Oryctolagus cuniculus: one gene and its partner. The protein of the gene in region 1 purifies or fractionates together with the protein of each later gene. This does not show direct contact. Links are inferred from orthologs where the notes say so. Each region holds a gene or a part of one and is shown in the gene's direction. Other genes may lie near its edges.

The links. Proteins that work in one complex are often made in the same cells at the same time.
Region 2: the proteins of FGF11 (region 1) and AHCYL1 purify together in Homo sapiens (affinity purification with mass spectrometry; 3 studies listed by BioGRID and IntAct, with this or other methods). This does not show direct contact. The link is inferred for Oryctolagus cuniculus from reciprocal best matches to the Homo sapiens genes FGF11 and AHCYL1.

The regions. Positions count from the first base shown.
Region 1 is NC_091448.1:52,014,967-52,019,430, forward strand, and holds the start of FGF11 (fibroblast growth factor 11), read left to right. Parts: upstream 1-1,503; 5' UTR 1,504-1,653; coding exon 1,654-1,846; intron 1,847-3,492; coding exon 3,493-3,603; intron 3,604-3,788; coding exon 3,789-3,892; intron 3,893-4,464.
Region 2 is NC_091438.1:60,303,992-60,307,753, reverse strand, and holds part of AHCYL1 (S-adenosylhomocysteine hydrolase-like protein 1), read left to right. Parts: intron 1-398; coding exon 399-487; intron 488-827; coding exon 828-898; intron 899-1,617; coding exon 1,618-1,712; intron 1,713-1,792; coding exon 1,793-1,891; intron 1,892-2,644; coding exon 2,645-2,713; intron 2,714-3,151; coding exon 3,152-3,230; intron 3,231-3,762. UniProt on the Homo sapiens protein: Multifaceted cellular regulator which coordinates several essential cellular functions including regulation of epithelial HCO3(-) and fluid secretion, mRNA processing and DNA replication.

The DNA.
Region 1 (4,464 bases):
AGGCATTGGGGTATGGAGACCAAGGACTGATCAGTTGGATTAAAGAGGCCAGGTTTCGCCCCGGGCTGGGTCTCATCCCTACCCCCATGTCTCCAGTTCTGCCCTCGCTTCCAGACCGGGCATTAGTGTCCCTCTCTTCATTCTCCCCGTGGCCGCCATTCCATCTCTGCGAAGCCCAGCCTCTCCCCCAATCCACAGCTCCGCTAATGAGGCCTCCTTGTCCCTCTCCCTCTGAACCCCGAGGCAGGAGGCCTGGCCTCGCCTTGCCTGCCTGCGGGACAGTCCCCACTCCCTGCCGCCAAGGAACCCCTGGGTTCCTCCCGCCCGGCTTCGCCCCCCTCTTTCCCGGCGTCTCCGCCCCCTGCCCCGCCCCCGGGCTGGCTCTCGGAGGAGGGGGAGCTGCTCTCGCCGCCGCCGCCGCCTCAGCTTCCCACAGCCGCTGCCGCCGCTGCCGCCGCTGCGCCTGGTCCAGCCTCCAGGCCCAGCGCTGTGACTTCGCCGGACCGGGACGCTTTGAGGAGACACCCTCACTCCTTCCCAGGGGTCCCGGACGCCTAGCCGGGCGTGGGGGGAAGCTCTGCTTGCGGGGGACAGGGAGGGAGGAGCCTGAAGCCGGAGCCCGCACCGCCCGCCGCCCGGATCAACGGGACAGGACAGGTTGAGGGGCGTCGGGGAAAGGAAGAGGGGGTGCTGTAGGCAGTCCCTGGGAGGACGAGCAAGCGCGGTCGCAGGAAGCTCTAATGAGCTCTGACTTGTAGGGGGCCTCTTCACATTTGGGGACTGGTGGCAACGTGGGTGCACTTCTCTCTGGGGGGCTGACTGGATGGGAGGGCGTGGGATCTAGACAGCGCAAGCTGTCATAAGGGGCAGTCCAGGAAAAAAGAAAGTGCTCATTCGGAGGTGACGGGGGCCCTCCAAACTACCACACCTGGGGTATCCATTAGGAAGGGCGGATTTGGAGGTGACTTGGAGAGGAGTGGAGGGTGACAAGGTGAGGAGAGGGTCTGTGGGCAGCTGGAGCCCTGTGCTATTAGAAATGGGAGTGATGGAGAAGAAAGGCAGTGTCCACCCAGGGGATCTGGGACCTGCTCCTCGCTGAATCCGGACAGCCTGTGTTCTCCCAGATATATTTGGGGGGGGGGGGATTTCAGTGGGAAAAAAAAAGTAGGAAATCATCTCCATTGAGAAGGTAGCAAAGGAGGGAGCACCAGCGTTGGGTTCCTCTCTGACATTGAGAGTTGTCCTGTGGGGCTGGGACGAGTTGATGGCCCCGAAGCTGGGACCCACACCTTTCAGATTATCAGAGTAGATCTGGCAGGAGTGTGGGCTCCAAAGCAGGGGGGAGAGGGAAAACTGGAGCCACCTCTTGGGAGATCTTGGCTTTGGAACCCAGGGCGTGGAGACACACACCAGAGAGGAGTGAAGAGGAGGATTTTCAGTTAGGGGCAACATTCCAGGTGAGGGAAACCAAGGAGTGCATAGGCGGCGGGATCAGGTGGAGCCAGGATAGGGCCCAAGGGTGGGTGCTGGCGGCCACAGCGAGGACTGGGGCTTGCCTCAGGTCCTGTGGGTGGGGCGGTGAGCTGGGGCCAGGGAGTGGAGAGCATGCCCTGGTGAGCGCGCTGGTTTGGGGGTGTCTCCTCCTGGGGCGCCATGGCGGCGCTGGCCAGTAGCCTGATCAGGCAGAAGCGGGAGGTCCGTGAGCCCGGGGGCAGCCGGCCGGTGTCGGCGCAGCGGCGTGTGTGTCCCCGCGGCACCAAGTCCCTCTGCCAGAAGCAGCTCCTCATCCTGCTGTCCAAGGTGCGACTGTGCGGAGGGCGGCCCACGCGGCCGGACCGCGGCCCGGGTGAGTGCGGCTGGGGCGGGGGTCTCCGAGCCTGGGAGGTTGAGGCCAGGGACTCCTTAGAATGGGGCCCGGCGAGGGGGCGGGGAGTCCCAGAGTGGGTCAGGACCACAGAGTCCCTGCTAGACCGTGCCTCAGTTTCCCTTCTCTTTTGTCCATCACCCCGAGTCTGTGCTTTCGAGGGCAAGGGGCTAAGTCTGGCGCCCCGATGCCTTGCAGCTCCGGCCCACCCCACCCCCCAGCACCGGAGTCCCCACCCCCACCGTCCTCCGCCTACGTGCCGGTTCTCGCGATTCTTTCCGTCCAGAGCGGAGGGGCCGGGGCGCGGTGGGGGGGGGGGGTTCCGGACGCCTGGGTCACCCCGAGGGTTTCTGCGGTTCCGGCCGCCCCGCCCCCGCCCCGGTTCTCCCGCTTCAGCACGCCCTGGCTCGGTTCCTCCTGGTCTAGCTCGCCTGGCTCGAAGCCAATCTCCCCGGCTCTCCCCCGGTGTCCTTGCGGCCACCACGCCAGCAAGCCCCTCTGTGGGCCCTCCTCCCGCGAACTGAGCTTCAGGAGGGGAACCGGGCATCCCTCCGCATTCCCCCCGCGCGACTCCAAAACCGGGTCCCACTGGCTCGGGGGACCTTGCCAGGAGGAACTGAGGCACAGTTCTCCACCGGAGACTGGCGCGGAGACTTTGTGGGGGGGGTCGTACCACCTACAAGGGGAACAGGGAAGTCGGCAGAGAGCAAGCAAGGGAGGAGGAGAGTTGTGAGGGTTAGTGTGTGGTCCCCGTCCGGGTGTGACAGCCAGGGAGTCCTTCTAGTCCCGCTACAGCCGGCTTCCAGCTCCCCTGGGAGTAGCCCCCTCACTCCCTCCTCACCCCGCCACCTGCCGTCCACAGTGGTACGGTCCGCAGCCCACCCTGGGAGAGGGACACGGTCCACACGTGACTCATCCTGCCACTCCATCTCCGCGGCCCCCTTCCCCCATTTCTTTGATATGGCATGGAATGTTCCCCACCCCATGCGGGTTACTTGAATGTAGGGGAGAGGCTGAGCCTCAGGGAGAGCTGGGCTCCTGTGGGTGCCAGCAGATTGACAGACTGACAGACAGACAGATTGGTCAGTGTCAGACAGGCGGGAGCCTGGCCAAGGGGAGGCCCGCGCCAATCCAGCAGCAGCCGCAGCAGCAGGTGCTGAGTCAGCGTCAGGCCTGGCCCCACCCCCACCCCTAAGGGGGAGCCCCTACCCTGTGGTCACCGGCCCCCTTCCCCCCACATTGGCAAACACTGCCCCTCCAGTAGCTGCCTGCCTCCCTCTGTCCCCTGCCTTTGGATGCTTCTCTTCCCCTCCTCCTCCCTCTCCCCTCCCCCTCTGGTTGAGCTGTACAGTAGGAATTAAGCCATTTAAATAAATTTCAATAAATTAAACGGAAAGCGCGAGGTTAGAGGAAACAGAGGGGCCCACACCCCGGCTTCCCCAGCAGTCAAGGAGAGGTGGGCTAGAGTTGGCTGGCAGGATAAGAAAGCTGGGGCCGCGGGACCCCCTTCCTCTGCTCCCTTGCGTTTCCTTCTCCTGACCCTGCCAAGTGTAGCAGTGTTTCTGGGAACAGAGATGTCGTTTCCAAAGATGAATGTCTCTCTCTCTCTCCTCTCTCTCTCTCTCCAGAGCCTCAGCTCAAAGGCATCGTCACCAAGCTGTTCTGCCGCCAGGGTTTCTACCTCCAGGCGAATCCCGACGGAAGCATCCAGGGTGCCCCAGAGGACACCAGCTCCTTCAGTAAGGGGGGAGCCAGCTGGGGGCTGGGGGGGGGAGCATGCGGGCAGGAGGTGGCAGTTGTGGCCCCTCTTCAGCTTCTGTGGCTTGCAGGCTCTCTGCCATGGATGGGGGGAGGGGGTGTGTGCTGGGGCAGCTCAGGTGCAGTGAGAGGCCTGGGTATTCATGTCTCCTCTCTCCACTCCCAGCCCACTTCAACCTGATCCCCGTGGGGCTCCGCGTGGTCACCATCCAGAGTGCCAAGCTGGGTCACTACATGGCCATGAACGCCGAGGGGCTGCTCTACAGCTCGGTGAGACACTGAGGCTGAGGGGCCTGGGGTACCAGGCACTCCCCCACCTGCCATCGTACTCCACTACAGACATGGTCTGGTGGGGTTTTTGCAGCGCAAGTCCCTCGCCCTCCAACTTTGGCTGCTGTCACCACTGTCCATCCCAGAGCACCTCCTGTAGGGGCTGTCCGAACCCCTGCTGTTCACACAGCCCCCCCAAATACTCCCCGGCTCGTGAGTGTCTCATGTGTTCCGTCCTTTAGGGCCCCCACTTCTCATCATTCCTCCTCCAGACTTTGTTATTACTCACTTCCCCAGAGGCTTTCAGGACCGGGGATGGGGAGGAGATTGGGGATGGCATTGTGGTACAGCAGGTTAGGACACCCGCATCCCCAGCAGGTGCCACTTTGAGTCCCGACAGCTCTACCTCCAATTCAGCTCCTCGCTGGTGTACCTGGGAAGACAGCAGAGAATGACCCAGGTACTTGGGCCCCTGCTACCTATGTGGGAGAGCTGCATGGAGTTCCAGGCTCCTGGCTTCAGCTTGGCCCAGGCTCAGCTTTTGGGGCCAGTTAGGGGGTGAACCAGTGGAT
Region 2 (3,762 bases), on another chromosome or scaffold:
GGAAAGCAGAGTATCTCCAGACCAGGTTGCAGAAGACTTTGTGACTTCAGTGTTGACCCATGAATCCTGAGCTGCTAGGCTGTCGTTGAGTAAATGCATCTCGAGGGAGGGTTAGGGAGCTTTTCAGGAATAAGAAACTAGAGGTGACAGTCACTTTTGCTTGATCTTGTTTCCCTAATGGAAACACTTCTGTCTGAAGCCTTGCAACCACGTGGCTGCTAAATGACCTCCCTCCCTGAGGCTCACAGCATAACGGGGATCTCTTCCTGCTCTGCCCGCGAGTGCCCACCGGATCACTGGTGGTTTCAGGAAGGTTAATTCCTGTCCCCCCGAGAGCTTGTCCTCCCCACGCCCGTGCCTTAATGGACCTGACCTCCTGTCCTTGCTCTGTCCTGCAGGTGGGAAAGGGCTGCTGTGCTGCTCTCAAGGCCCTCGGAGCGATCGTCTACATCACAGAAATCGACCCCATCTGCGCTCTGCAGGCCTGGTAAGAACAGAGTGCTCCTAGGATTAGATTTACTCCAGGTACTTTCTGTTTCTAAGAGTTTGTGATTGAGTGTATGAATCATTTTCTGCAGAGATCTCCCCACAGGAGGAGAAGCCAGGATTGCTCTGTCCCTCTCCCTTAATCCTGGGGCTCTTCTAGAGCCGCTTGGCTTTTTCCCTTCCAGAGGGGGGTGTGTGTAGCTCAGCGCTGCTGACTGCCTGTCCTCCTGGTGAGGCAGCTCTGCATCTGACTTCAGAAGCAGTTTTGTCATCTGTTTTGGGATCAGTGTCTTCCCACTGCCGCCTTGCTTTGCTCATAGTGTTCCTTCCTTTTCTTCCAGCATGGATGGGTTCAGGGTGGTAAAGCTAAATGAAGTCATCCGGCAAGTTGACGTCGTAATAACTTGTACAGGTAGGTTAGCTGGTGTACATGGGAGAGTGTTCGCTCGGGAACTAAGTCTTAGAAGGGGTCTGACTTTCCACTGAGCGTAGTTGAGACCTGTGCTCAGTGTAATGTCTCGCCTGAGTGAGCTCTCAAAACTAATGAGTGACAGAGTAGGGTCTTTTCCCTGTGCTGACTTTTTATACTGACTGATGTTAAAACAGGTAATTGGGATGGGTGTTGGACCCAGCACTTAAGATGCCTGTGCATCCCATTCCAGAGTCCTTGGGTTCCATACCCAGCTTCAGCTCCTTATTCCAGCTTCCTGCTCATTCAGACCCTGCGAGAAGACTGTGGTGCTCAAAGTAATGGACTTCCTGATAGCCACGGGGCAGATCTGGGTTGAATTCCCAGCTCCTGCCTCCTGGCCCCAACCAGCCCTGGCCATTGGAGGCGTTTAGGGAATGAACCAGCACATGGGAAAGCAGTCACTCCCTCTCTGTCTCTCCCCCCTCCCCGACTCCAACATCCTCTTTCCCTCCTTCCCTCCATCCCTCCCAAATAGTTAAAAAAAAAAAAAAAAAAAAAATTGAAACCAGCTCCTTGAGCCTGAGAAGCCTTTAGGCACTTCTCCCGCAGTGTATACGCATTCTTGAATGCCAAGAAACCTTTCTCATGTTCCGGCTGAAGCCAGTCGGGATCTCTGTTGTCCAGCCTCTCTCTGCTCAGCAACCCATCTTTACTCCTAGGAAACAAGAATGTGGTAACGCGGGAGCACTTGGACCGCATGAAAAACAGCTGCATCGTGTGCAATATGGGCCACTCCAACACGGAGATCGACGTGGTGAGGCCTTCGTGCTCGGTGGCGGCCCCTCCCCTCTGCTTCCCTCACAGCCGTGGTCACCTGTGCCTTCTTCCTTGCAGACCAGCCTCCGCACTCCGGAGCTGACGTGGGAGCGAGTGCGATCCCAGGTGGACCATGTCATCTGGCCAGATGGCAAACGTGTCGTCCTCCTGGCAGAGGTACATGCGCAGGCGGGCTCTGCAGAGTAGCACAGTATCGTTGGAGCTGTGGTGGGGAGAGGAGACAGGCAGAAGTACTGGGCCTGCCTTCTCCCTGAAAGTCTGTATTTGGATAGAGGTATATTTGTCAAATGGGCTGCTCCCCAAAATAGAGTCACTGAAAAGAAATTCACTTTTGGGCCAGAACTTTGGCCCTGGCAGTTGAGATGTTAAGATGCCTTCATCCCTTATCAGAGGCCTGGCTCTGGTTCCTGACTCCCAACTCCCTGCTAATGTGGACCCTAGGATGCAGCAAGTGGTGGCTCAAGTAATTGTGTCCCTGCCGTCCACATGGATAACTCGGATTGAATTCCTGGCTCTGAGCTTTGTTCTGGCCCAGCCCTGGCCATTGCAGGCATTTGGAGAGTAAACAAGCAGGTGGGGCCATGTGCTCGCTTGCTCTCTAGATATCTCAGCCTCTTAAATAAGTAAATGAAAAATCTTGAAATACACACATACACATGGGTGTACCCACACACAGTGTTTAGAAATGCATGCTTTTTCCTGTCCACATCTGGCTGAGCTTTCAGGCTCTGATGGATGGTTGGAACTAGTCTGAAGCCTAGAGTCCTGATGTGGAACTGTAATTCTTCTTCCAGTTGAGTCTAGAAGACTCTAAAGTCCTTTCTTTAACTTGCTTGACTCGCATGCTGTTGGAATCTGAGACTGAGAGATAACGGCTCATCCTGGCTCATCCTGCTCTTGCTCTTCCAGGGTCGTCTGCTCAATTTGAGCTGCTCCACAGTTCCCACCTTTGTTCTGTCCATCACAGCTACAACACAGGTATGTGGTAAGACACCTGCTACCCTGCACTGGGATTTGTGGGGCTGGACAGAGGGCAGAGCTGGGAGGCGAGTGTGCCAGGCTACATTCTGCCAGACTGTTCCTTTTTCATATTACTCTTTGTTGAGACTGAGACTTCCCAAATGTAGGACAGTCACTAGTCAGTGTTTGTGTCTGCTTGAGTTGGGTGTTTTAGTTGAGAATATAGTGTTCCAGCTTAGTTGTGTTTATTTTGTTCTTTTGTCAAGAATTAAACAAAACACCAGCAAATCCTCTTGTGATATGTGCCGACTGGCCTTTATTAGTAGGAGTTGTAGGTGCAGTTCACTATGTAGATCACCGGAGCACTTACCCTAAGGCCCTAGTAAGCCTGATTTTATTTATTCACGTCCCTGTCTAAGAAGCATGTCTGTGTTTTCTGGCACTTTCCCACCATAGGCTCTGGCACTGATAGAACTCTATAATGCACCTGAGGGCCGGTACAAGCAGGACGTGTACTTGCTTCCCAAGAAAATGGGTGAGTGCAAACCAGGGCAAACCTGCACTGCTCTCCAGACAACTCTGTGATTTGGGGGCGTGAGCATGACAAAAAGCCCTGGATTCAGAGTCAGAATTCTAATTCCTGTTGTGGTGTTTAATGATTGTTTGACCTCAGCACAAGGCCTAATCTCCACGTGCCTCAGTTTCTTGATCAGAGAGTAATCCGTTCATCCGTGTAGGAGGACTAGCACAGTGGTTCAGAGAGGATGTTCTTACCCTGAGTTGCCTCATGAAGTTCAGTGAACTTCCCATTGCAACCGAGTGCAGCCTGGGGCCAAAATGAAAGATAAAAGTTTCACATGTAAGTTTCATTGTCCATCCTCTGTTAGTTGGGCACACTGTCTCCTACCCCACTGTCTGCCCTTCCAGGGGACAGCTCAGGCTGTGTGTGTATGATACATCGTCTCCTGTCCTTTACCTTTAAATTAAAAAAAAAAAAAAATTGCTCCCTCTTTTCCTCCAACGGCTTACCTCAGAATGGTTTTTAAAATTCACATTCCTAAAAGCCA